3 linked regions of the Canis lupus familiaris genome follow. The protein of the gene in region 2 interacts with the protein of the main gene of each other region in a pairwise test. Links are inferred from orthologs where the notes say so. Each region holds a gene or a part of one and is shown on either strand. Other genes may lie near its edges. The genes, in order: TNPO2, APIP and PDZD4.

Region 1 (3,720 bases), on a different chromosome or scaffold from region 2:
AAGTTAGGCCTGGTAATGCTTAACTTGATGATCTCTAACCTAGCAAACTATTTTTATACCCATTTGGCAAGTGGGGAAACTAAGACTCCCAAGTGGTGGGAGGTTGTCCACCTGTTTATCAGCCTGGCCAGGAAGTGGGGAACCGAGGTCTTCAGCTCCTCCCTCCTCCGCTGCTCCACTCTTAAAAGAGGTGCCCTACTTTGTCCTCAGATGGCGCAAGGATTACGGAGATGTCTTTCATCATGACCCTGCCCTTGCCTAGATTTCCTGGGCTGTTTCACCTCACTCAGCTTCAGGTAGGGAAAGAGATTAGGCCTTTCGTTTCAGCGTTTATTCATCTCGTTTAGAATTTTATGTCCTTGTGGGTTTCTCTCATATCCTTGTAAAAAGTATCAAACTGTACTGGAAAATAAAACAAAATGTGGCAGAGGCTTCTGCAGGCACGCAGCCTATCTTAGGCACTCCCTTTGTCTGGCTCGGCCCTTCCTTTGTCTGGGGTCTAAAATCCACGCTAGGCTCAGTCCCCTCCGATCTTTCCTTGAGGACACCTCCTGTACTCTTCCAGGTACCTTCCGGATGCGAGGGAAAAGGCAGAGTTGTATTCGTAGAGAAGGGGGTGAGAGGCACAACTGGCTGTGGCCGAGAGGTCCCCGGGCCTACCACATACCGAAAGTCCCCCCACGCGCCACTAAACTCAGCTCCCAGCAAAGAGCTACTGTCAGGCGGGCGTGAGAGACGCTGAGAAAACGAGACGCCGGGAAGACCAAACGGCCAGAGAGCCCAGGCGAGCCGCCAACACTTCGGTCACGTGACCCGGTCTCGGCGGGGCCTGGGTCTCCCCGGAGCCGGGCCACGTGTTACGGCTGCGCCTTCCGATTGGCTCTGCTGGGCCGATTTGAACGGCGTACGGAAGCCGCCGCGGCTCATCCACGGCCGCGTTTTTTTTTTCTCTCTCTTTTTTTTATTCCCTCTCTTTGGCTCCCTCCTTCCGCGCGAGTCTCAGGAGAAGCCGCAGCGCACGGCGCCGCTGCTGCCACCCGGGGCCCGGTAAGTGGGCCTTTCCCGAAGCCCGACCGGCTCGGCCCGGGCTTGTGTTGACCCCCGCCGGGCTCCGGGTCAGCGCCGCGCGCGGCCCGGCCGTCGGGGCCGCGCCTGACCGGGAAAGGCCGAGAACCTGGTTTGGGCCCCATTCGCGAGGCAACGAGAACGGGCCGGGGCGGGGGAAGGGGAAACCGAGCCGGGCTTAGGGGGTGGGGCCTCGGAGCCAGGCCAGACCCCGGTGCCTCGAGAATCGGGGCAGTGGGGCGGCTGGGATCGGGCCGGAGGGGATCTGGGGGAAGCGTCTGGGGACTCCTTAGGGCCTGATTGGGGAACGTCGCGAGGATCGGGTGTGTGTGTGGGGATATTTCGGCGGGGTTTTGGTTGGGTCTGGTTGGGGGAGGCCGCATTTAAAAGTTGGGGGTCTTCTTGGACCCTGACCGGGAGGGGCGTCAGACTTCGTTCTAGAGGGCTTTGCTGGGTCTGACTTCGAGGTGTCGCTAGGATCCGTTGGGGGGAATGCTCCGTGGGGTGTTCGTCCAGGCCTAACTGGGGGAAGCTGCAGACATCGGACGAAGTGGGTTGCCGGCTCGAGGTGGTGGGGGGCTTGGCCGAACTTGATTGCGGGAAACAGCAGAGATCCGCCAGCAGGAGTTAATGCTGACTGGGGCTGGAGGCAGAAGGTGGGGGGTGGGGGGAGACTTGGCCAGACCTGATTGGGGAAAGGGACGGGGACCTGTCCAGGGGTCAGATTTAGCAGGGTGGGCGGGCTTGGCTGGCTAGCCTTTGGAGAGGCAGCTCGGACCTGTCTGGGGATTGCTTCGGACCGATGAAGAGGAATCTCGGATGGGGTCTGGCTAGGCCAAAAAGGAGGAGCGTCTGGCATCCGGCTCAGTTTGGAGGGATGGATTAGGGGAGGTGGCAGGGATCCGGACGATTGGAGCACCTTGGGACTGTGCACCTGGGAGGCTCGGGGACCAGACGGAGGAGGAGGAGGCAGCTGGGATCTGGCAGGGCTTGAGGGCTGGATTTCGGAAGAGCGGTCTCTGGGGTTGGGAACTGTGCCTGGACCAGGGAGACCACGGGGGCCGGGGCGCTATCGTGGTCTGGGGCAGGGCCCCTGGGTGGAGAGGTGGCTGGCGCCTTGCCTAGCGGGTGTGAGGCTGGCGGAAGTTGTAACGCCTGCAGCCGGGGGAGGCGGCATGGGCCGCCCTGGGATGAAAGCTCCGTGCGGGGCCCAGTGAGGACCCGCCGAGCCCTGCCACTGCCTCCCGTGGCCTTCCATATCCCCCATATCTCCTCACCTGTGTTTCCGAGACTGCGCCGACGTGGATGGCGCAGCTGGCGGGGACCCCGCACTTGGGCTGGTGTGGATCGGCGGCCCCCGCCTGTCAGCCGAGGGCGCTCCCGCCGTGCGGCCGCTGCAGGCACCTCCACCGGGGCTCGCTGCAGGCACCTCCACCGGGGCTCAGCCCGGATCTCACATGGGGCCCTCGGGACCCAGCGCTGACCCTGGCCCCTACCCCGCAGCTCACCCTGCGCCATGGACTGGCAGCCAGATGAGCAGGGCCTGCAGCAGGTCCTGCAGCTGCTCAAAGACTCGCAGTCACCCAACACAGCCACGCAGCGCATCGTGCAGGACGTATCCTTCCTTCCTTCCTTCCGGGCCTAGGGGGAACAGGGCAGACGTCTGCAGAAGGGGCTGACACCCTAATTCCCAGATTCTCTTACGGCAGGAGCTAGCTTTGGCAGAGAATTAGGGATTAGAATTTTTGAGTCCCATTTCCAGAGGAAATGTGGCCCTGTGGGGGAGGGGGGAACACTAGCTGGCACGTGGTTTTTGTTTAGGTTCATGGTTAAAATGTCTCTTTCCCAATTGATGCTTAAAACTCTGTAAGTTAAAGTTGAAGATATTTAAACTATCAGCAAGTTTTACTTAAAAATGTAGATTCTCTTTTCTTTCTTTTTCTTTCTTTCTTTTCTTTCTTTTCTTTTCTTTTCTTTTCTTTTCTTTTCTTTTTAAAAGGGCAACATGGGACTTATGAGCAGGACTGAGTAGCAGTGGTTCTCACTGCTGTGGCCAGGCCTCTCAAGAGTGCATGGAAAGCTCAGGCGTGCTCTCCCACCCACTGGGTGACTTTGATGTGCCTGCAGCGCTGTGTTTCCTGGCATGGGGGTTGACAGGTGGCATCTCAGGAGCTGTCCCCCTGGTCCCGGTGGTCAGAGGGACTTTTAGCTACACGGCAGTGAAGGGACCCACCGGGGGAGGGGAAGGCCCTTGTCTCCCAAGTCCCTTAACAACCCGGCAGAAACTCAAACAACTGAACCAGTTTCCGGACTTCAACAATTACCTGATCTTTGTCCTGACCAGACTCAAGTCGGAAGGTATGCTCCCGGTGCCCCTCTACGCACGGGCTAGATCCCGCTTTCTCCCCTGTGCTCCCCTGACCCTCAGCCCTCCTCCCCCAGATGAGCCAACTCGTTCCCTCAGCGGTCTCATCCTCAAGAACAATGTGAAGGCACATTACCAGAGCTTTCCGCCCCCTGTGGCCGACTTCATCAAACAGGAGTGTCTCAACAACATTGGCGATGCCTCCTCACTCATCCGAGCTACCATAGGTGAGAGCGGGAGTCGGCTGGTGATGACTCCCTGAGTTCTTCCTCTCAGCCAAGGAGCTTTTT
Region 2 (3,647 bases):
GTTTATTTTGTATTTGTGTGAGAGCCTCCCAGGAAAACCTCTGTCCAAGCAATACATGTCTCTGTTATGCTTAAATTGAAAGAAAAGATGGTGGAAGGGATTAGAGTCATTGTTAGCTGTGAGCAGGTATCTCAGTGACAGTGGAGTTGACTTCCTTAAAATAATTAGGTTGAAAGATTAGAAAAATAAAGTATTGACTCAACAACTTTTTAGGCTTTAATGTTTTTAATGTATACAAAATACTGTTAAATGTTTCTCCCTTTTTCCTTTTTGTCTATTCTTATTGAAATAAGTATTCTGATATTTACTCTCTTACCGTTCTGAACAATTTAGATGACTGCATTTTACCCAATATATCTGTTAGTTCTCACTGCTCAGTGATTATTTTCCTGGAAATTATAATTTTGTGGGTTTGAACAGTTGAATGAAGCTTTATTAACAGCTGCCTTATCATTGTTATTCCTGTAGCATGAAGCCGGCTAATTGCTGTAATAACTCAGTACTGGAAAAGACAAAAGGAAAAGGGGAGAGACCCATAATAACAGACCATTTTCTATAATGTTTGCAACTTGCTATGCAAATTGACGGTTTTAACAGTTGGAAGACTGCAGGAGTCTTCTCATTAGCTGTACTTTAATATATAATTAAAATAGCATTTGTATCACTAAAAAAGGAAATAGTAAATTATACAGGGCATGGATAATTCTGGCTAGATTTTGTAAGGACAGATATAAGGAAAGCCAATACAGAATTATTTTTTTTTTAATTCAAGAATTTTTAACACTTCAGAATGGGAAGGAAGGTAAAACTTCCAGTCATAAAATAAATGAGTCACAGGGATGAAAAGTACAACATAGGGAATATAGTCAATAGTATTAATAACATTATATGGTAACAGATGGTGGTGAGCATTGAGTAATATATAGAATTGTCAAATACAGTATATTGTACACCTGAACTAATATAATACTGAAAAAAAAATGGGAGGGAAACTAACGTTGACTGTCACATGTTATCCTGGATGCTTTATCTTCATTATTTTCTCTTTAAAAAAAAAAAAATGACTCATCCCATACCTGGAAGCCTGTAGCACTATATCTCATTTTACCTCTTACAATGTTTTCATTTTATGGATTAGTAAACTGAAATCCAAAGTCCTATATAAGCAATAAATGGTGTAATGTAGGTTTGACTTTATGTCCATTAACTCCTAAGCCTGTGTTGAATCAGAACTTTAAAAATTTTGGGGATGCCTGGGTGGCTCAGTGGTTGAGCGCCTGCCTTAGCTCAGGTCCTGATCCTGGGGTCCTGGGATTGAGTCCCCGCATCAGGCTCACCACAGGGAGCCTGCTTCTCCCTCTGCCTGTGTCTCTGCCTCTCTCTCTGTGTCTCTCATGAATAAATAAAATCTTTAAAAAAAAAAGAACTTTAAAAATTTTTAACATTCCCATGTCCTTAATTTTATATTTTGAAGTCCACTCCATCAAATTATCATTTATAACAAAATGCAATGCATATGTAAAGTATTAACAGTGAATTTGGAAAAACACCATAATTTCAGAAAGCCAGTTAAGTAGCTGAAAATTTGGTCTGTTCGATAATCATCCCTGTTCGGACTCAAAAATGTTTTTCCCCTTTACTCAGTACCAGCATTTAGCTAGGCAAGATTCCTTGCTGTGCTTTTGTGCACAAAGGGTCTGTTTCTTGTTCACCCTTACCTGGAGTGTGTAGCCCCTTGTCTTGTCTCAAACCTATGGAGGGATTTTCTATTAGATATTCCATTCTGAGCACATCCTAGGTTTAATCTCATGTTTCTAGCAGCTTGCATAGCTATCAGAATTGAAGCTTAAGCTCACCGGAGTTCTGCAAATACCTTCAGGGGAATTATGACTTCAGAGCTTCCCTCCCAGGTAGACTCTCACCCTGGTTTCTTTTATGGCCCCTGTGAAACCGTACTTCTTGCCAGCTCAGCAATTTAATTTGAAATGTTTTTAAAAACTATTCAGCATTTTTGTTATTTTCAAGTTAAGAGTCATATGTCATATTGCTAAAAATAAAAATATTGTTTTTTGCTTTCATTAATTTTGATTTTTAAAAATGGGGGAAACATTGAGTTTTTTTCCTAAAGAAATAATCATTAGCCTTAATAAAAATAAGCTCTTATTTTAACTAGACTTACTGTGCTGATCATTTCACAATATATATAAATACCTATTCTTTATATTATCCACTAATGTAATGCTATATGTCAATTCTACCTCAATAAAAATATGTAATTAAAACTCAGAATTTATCCCAACATACATACATTTGTTCCTGTGTACACATATCTTCATTGAAATGGGCCCAGAAAATACTCATTATGATTGCTTCTGAGTGAGTCCTTTCCATCTTATTTTCTTGACTTTATATTCCATAGTGAGTATACATTGCTTTTGTAATAAGAGAAAACAATGCAATCACTGTGGAAAAAAGATTTTAGAATAAAAATAAAACTGAACTAACAATGAATATGAACACATAGCTCTCATATGTATATCATGACTTAATTGAATGTTTTGTGTTAAGAAATTCACTGGACAGACTGAAGCATGTTCCTCTCAGCCCTAGATTCTGTTTTATTTCAGCCATTGTAGTAGACATTTATGTAAACTGGGCATTTCTCCACCTTGTTCTTGCAACCTGTCTCTTCATGCTGGACTAAATGGCCTTATTCTTAATAATTCCAGGTTGCAACATAGTAGATCCACTTTCTAAACATTAAAAACAAAGTATGTTTTATAATAGTTTTCTCCCTCATGGTACCTTCTCTATGGTAGATTTCCTTAAAATTCCTTACATTAGCTTTTTTTTTTTTTTTAAAGGATTTTATTCATCTATTTGAGAGAGCACAGATGGGCCTGGATACGCGCATGAGTGGGGTTTGGGGAAGAGGGAGAAGGACAAGCGCACTCCCCGCTGAGCAGTGAGCCCCCTAAGGCAGAGATCAATCCCAGGACCTTGGGATCATGACTGAGCCAAAGGCAGATGATTAACCAACTGAGCCACCCAGCTACCCCTTACACATCAACTTCTTAACAGAGACGTCAGCTAGAAAATTCACTCGATAACATAATGTCTCTTGGAAAAATCATTATCTTCTTTTTAAGGACAAAGAACATCCAAGATACCTGATCCCAGAGCTTTGCAAACAGTTTTACCATTTGGGTTGGGTCACTGGGACTGGAGGAGGAATTAGCTTGAAACATGGGTAAGTTTGGGGCTAATTTCACTTCTGGGAATTGTCCAAATAAGTAGCACATGAAGAGCCTAATACGAGTTCTATCCAAAGAACAACTGGTGCCCAGTTTTATGTGATACTAAAAATACTTAGTTTCTAAATGGAGTAATGAATATTTGCATTACTAAATAAGTGTGCAGAAGTTGTAGATACAATAAATACCTAAGGATTTAAGAACCACAGTTTCTAATCAGAATAATTTAGTCCTCAGTCTTTGGAGTACCAAAGTTAAATAATATGCTGCAAGTATGTTCATATGGCTAGAATTAGAAAAGGTCCCCCCTAGGTGGACAGGATTTGTTGTAAAGGTTCAAATACATATTTTAAAGTCACTTAAATATAGATTATGAACCATCAAAAATACTAA
Region 3 (3,747 bases), on a different chromosome or scaffold from region 2:
CCCGCGCCTGGCCTCCGCCGGCCGAGGTAACCGGAGGGGCGTGGAGCGGCCCCTCCCTGGGGGGCGTCCTCCCCTCCCCCGCTCGGCGGCCCGCCCCCTGCGCTAGGGTATGGCCCGCGGCCGCGGCCCGGGACCCGCGGTCCCGCACTCCGGCCACTGAAAGGCGTCTTCCCGCGGCCGCCCTCCGCCCCTCGCTGGCCAGCACCATGGGATGTAATATGTGCGTGGTTCAGAAACCGGAGGAGCAGTACAAAGTGATGCTTCAGGTAGGGACCGCCGCGGCGGGGGCGTGGGCGCGGGCGCCACCTGGGGAGGCAGCCGGTCGCCTACCCTGGAGGGCTGGAGGGCGCGGAGAGGAAGAGGTAGGGAGCCATTCCCGCCCTCAATTCGGGGGGCTGCTGGGTGTTGGCGCTCCGTGGGAACCGCGCACAAACGGGGGGGCTGCGTGGGGATGGGGTGCCGCGCGCATCCCCCGGGCGCCCGGAGTACACTGGGGGCCTGAACCCTGGGTCCGGATCGGCCTGGTTCGGGAAGTTGGGCTCGGCCCGGGGCCGGCGCGCTTGCACCCCGGCCGGGGAGCGGGGAGGCGCGGTGCTGCCGGCGCCGGCGCGGGATGGAGGTTGCATAGCAACGGGCTCCGTTCCCTGCACACGCTCGCCCCGCTGGACCCAGGGCGGGGGAGGGAGCTGGGCACCCGCGGCGCGGGCGGCGGCCGAATCCAGGGCCCCGCGGGCGGGCGAGGGGCGCAGGAGCGCGCGGGGGCGCTGGGGCCGGGGCGCTCCTCCTGGCAGCCGCTCCGCTCCGGCCCTGCCCAAACGGCGCGCGCCCAGGCCGGGTGCCGCGGGCTCCGCGACGGGGAGGCTGCCTGCGGGCAGCGGTGCCCCGCTCGCTCTCCGCCCTGCGGGGCCTCGGGTCCGGAGCCGCGAGGGGCGTGGGCCGGGGGGTGCTCGGGCGGGAGGGGATCCGCCCGGCCGCGCGCGCGGAACCCAAGCCCAGCCCGGTGGCCCGGAGCGGGGCTTCCTTGCCTGTGCGTGGCGTGACTTCGTGAGTGCGTGCCTGTGCCCCGTCTGTGTGTGCGCGGAGGCTCCTCCGGCCCCGCGTGTGTGTACTTTCTGTGTGCGCTCAGAGAGGTGTCCAGGGAAATGTCCCGGATGGTGTGGCCTGAGACGCCCCCGGGGCCAAGTGGCGGGAGTTCAAGGTCGGAGGCAGTCGGGACCCAGGGGCGGACCGGGCGCAGACAGGTATGCACTTCAACTCCGGGTTTCTGGGTCACGACCGGGGAGCAGGCGCTGCTGGGCGCGGCGTGGGCCGGGGCAATGAGGTCTCCTTAGAAGAATGGGGGGAACTCCTGTAAGGGGGCGCGGGGGCGCGGGGGGCGGGATCGGTGTCTGGGGAGGGATGGGGGAGGCCGCGGGAGCCCCGTTGTGGCCGCCGGGAGCGGGCGGGGGCAGGACGGGGAACCTTGCTCTGCCCTGGCCGCGCCACCCAGCTCCCCTGAGGCCCTGTCCCCGGGGGCGCTCGCTGCCCCTCGCTGCCCCTCGCTGCCCTCCGCCTTTCTTCCATTCTCGCCGTGCGCCCCCGGGCTGTTCCTCTCGGCCTGTTCCCTGGAAATCTTGCCTGGCCATTGTCATTGCCCGCTCGTGGAACGGGCTCGGTGATGACCCGGGCAGGGACCGAAAGGCAGCCCGCGGGAATCCCAGTGGTGGGCACCCGGGCTGCACTGGTTGGTTGGTGCCGCCGTGGGATCCCAGCCTCACCGCTTTCTTTCTTGGAATCTTCCACCCAACGGCCAGCGATTCCAGAGCTGTGCGCTCTTGACTTCCTCAGACAGGGATTGAGGTAGTATTTCGTGTAAGGCCGACCTGGTGGGGAGGCGTGGAGAGCCCCCCGCGCTGCCCTACAGGCTTGAAAGGAGCCTTGGTTGAGGGGCCACACTGGGGCGATCCTCGGGGCTCCCCCTGGCAGTGAGTTGGGGGGGCTGCCACAGTTGGGCTGGGACTGCCCTCAGGGAGGCTCCTTGTTGGAGGAGGGCTTGAGATGAACCCCGGGCAGGAAGGTTCTTGAGAGAGAGCCCCAGGCTCTTGGGGACACATGCCAACTGCCCTCTGCAGTTTCCTGCTCTGAGCCGCAGCCATCACAGGCCAGTGTCTGGGGACACCGCTCCCTTTTAAAGCTCCTGCTGAAGTTTGGGCAGAATCAGAGCCTGGGATGTAGTTTTAAAAGCGGGACTATCCGTGAAAATGAAGGGGAGGGGCGCCTGGGTGGCCCAGGCTCTTGATTTCAGCTCAGATCCTGATCTCAGGGTGGTGACATTGAGCCCCGCGTGGTGCCTGGGCATGGAGCCTGCTTAAGATTCTCTCCCTCTCCCTCTGCACCTCCGTCCCTCCCAAAATAAAATAAAATAAAATAAAATAAAATAAAATAAAATAAAATGGAGACAAAAGAAAGGGTGAATAAAAAGGAGCTGGAAAGCAGGGAAAACCATTAGTAGTCTGAGAAGACCCCGTTTCCGGGGTCTGGAGTCCCAGGCAGAGCAGGGAGGGGTTTCCTGGCCCAATCCGACCCTCTTCTCAGAGCAGAAAGAAGCTTTTGTCCCAAAAGACCAGTCGGACCCCTTGCCTGGCTCCCGTCCTCCCCTCAACACTGGTCCTCCCCTAGCGTCAGTGGTGCTTCTCCTGTCCGGTCTCTACGTGCCTGCGGCCTTGCACCCTGTGAGAGAAGGGGACCCCAGTGGGGTCCAGTGCAGCCCAGGGAAATGCACATGCACACCCGCATCACTTTGCCAGGGGACTTCCTTGGGCCAGGACCCGGACTCCCTGGGGCCTCTTCTTGGGTTCTCCAACCCCCACGTTACCGCCAGGTGTCTGTCTCAGCCTTGGGTTCCACGCCCTTTTCTCCTCAGGGCTCCCAGGCACAAAACAACCTACAGCTTTATTGAGCTAAAATTCGCACACCCCGGTAAAGTGTGCAGTCAGTGGTTTTTAATAGATTCAGAGACTTGTGCAACCATCACCACTGTCTCATTCCAGAACATTCTCATTACCTTAAAAAGAAACCCCGCCTTTAGCACTCCCGTACCCATTTCTCCCAACACCTCCCAGCCCCTGGCAACCGATCATCTACTTTCTATGGATTTACCTGTTCCAGACATTTCATCTAATGAACTGTATGAACCATACAATATATGATTTTTATGTGTGGCTTCTTTCTTTTATCATGTTTTTTTTTTAATGTTTTTGTAAAGTAATCTCTACACCCAATGTGGGGCTCAAACCCACAACCTGAGATCAAGAGTCAGATGCTTTTCCAACTGAGCCAGCCAGGCTCCCCCTAAATTTCTTTTTATTGCTGGATAATACTCCATTGTGTGACTATACCACACAGTATCCATTCACCCGTTGGTGGACATGGGGGTTGCTTCCACCTTTTGACTATTGTGAATAATGCTGTGAACATGAGTGTACAAATATCTGTTTGAGTCCCTGCTTTTATTTATTTTTTAAAAGATTTTTTAAAAGTAATCTCTATACCCAACGTGGGGCTCAGCCCCACAACCCTGAGATCAAGAGCAGTACACTTCACCGACTGAGCCAGCCAGGCACCCCGAGTCCCTGCTTTTAATTCTTTTGGGTATATAGCCTGAAATGGAATTGCTGGATCGTAGGGTAAATTCTGTTTAATTTTTTGAGAACCTGCCGAACCCTTTCCCACAGGGGCTAAGCCACTTCACATTCCTACCTGGAATGT

Evidence for each region.
Region 1: the proteins of APIP (region 2) and TNPO2 interact in binary tests that used the Homo sapiens proteins (3 or more experiments, as listed by UniProt). The two-hybrid records come from large-scale screens. The link is inferred for Canis lupus familiaris from reciprocal best matches to the Homo sapiens genes APIP and TNPO2.
Region 3: the proteins of APIP (region 2) and PDZD4 interact in a two-hybrid assay, tested with the Homo sapiens proteins (2 studies listed by BioGRID and IntAct). The two-hybrid records come from large-scale screens. The link is inferred for Canis lupus familiaris from reciprocal best matches to the Homo sapiens genes APIP and PDZD4.

What each region holds. Positions count from the first base shown.
Region 1 is NC_049241.1:49,805,454-49,809,173, forward strand, and holds the start of TNPO2 (transportin-2), read left to right. Parts: upstream 1-888; 5' UTR 889-1,047; intron 1,048-1,340; exon of another isoform or gene 1,341-1,388; intron 1,389-2,568; 5' UTR 2,569-2,581; coding exon 2,582-2,680; intron 2,681-3,347; coding exon 3,348-3,423; intron 3,424-3,507; coding exon 3,508-3,657; intron 3,658-3,720. UniProt on the Homo sapiens protein: Probably functions in nuclear protein import as nuclear transport receptor. Serves as receptor for nuclear localization signals (NLS) in cargo substrates.
Region 2 is NC_049239.1:33,416,253-33,419,899, forward strand, and holds part of APIP (methylthioribulose-1-phosphate dehydratase), read left to right. Parts: intron 1-3; exon of another isoform or gene 4-502; intron 503-2,308; exon of another isoform or gene 2,309-2,462; intron 2,463-3,149; coding exon 3,150-3,250; intron 3,251-3,647. UniProt on the Homo sapiens protein: Catalyzes the dehydration of methylthioribulose-1-phosphate (MTRu-1-P) into 2,3-diketo-5-methylthiopentyl-1-phosphate (DK-MTP-1-P).
Region 3 is NC_049260.1:122,831,056-122,834,802, reverse strand, and holds the start of PDZD4 (PDZ domain-containing protein 4), read left to right. Parts: upstream 1-1,123; 5' UTR 1,124-1,142; coding exon 1,143-1,241; intron 1,242-3,747.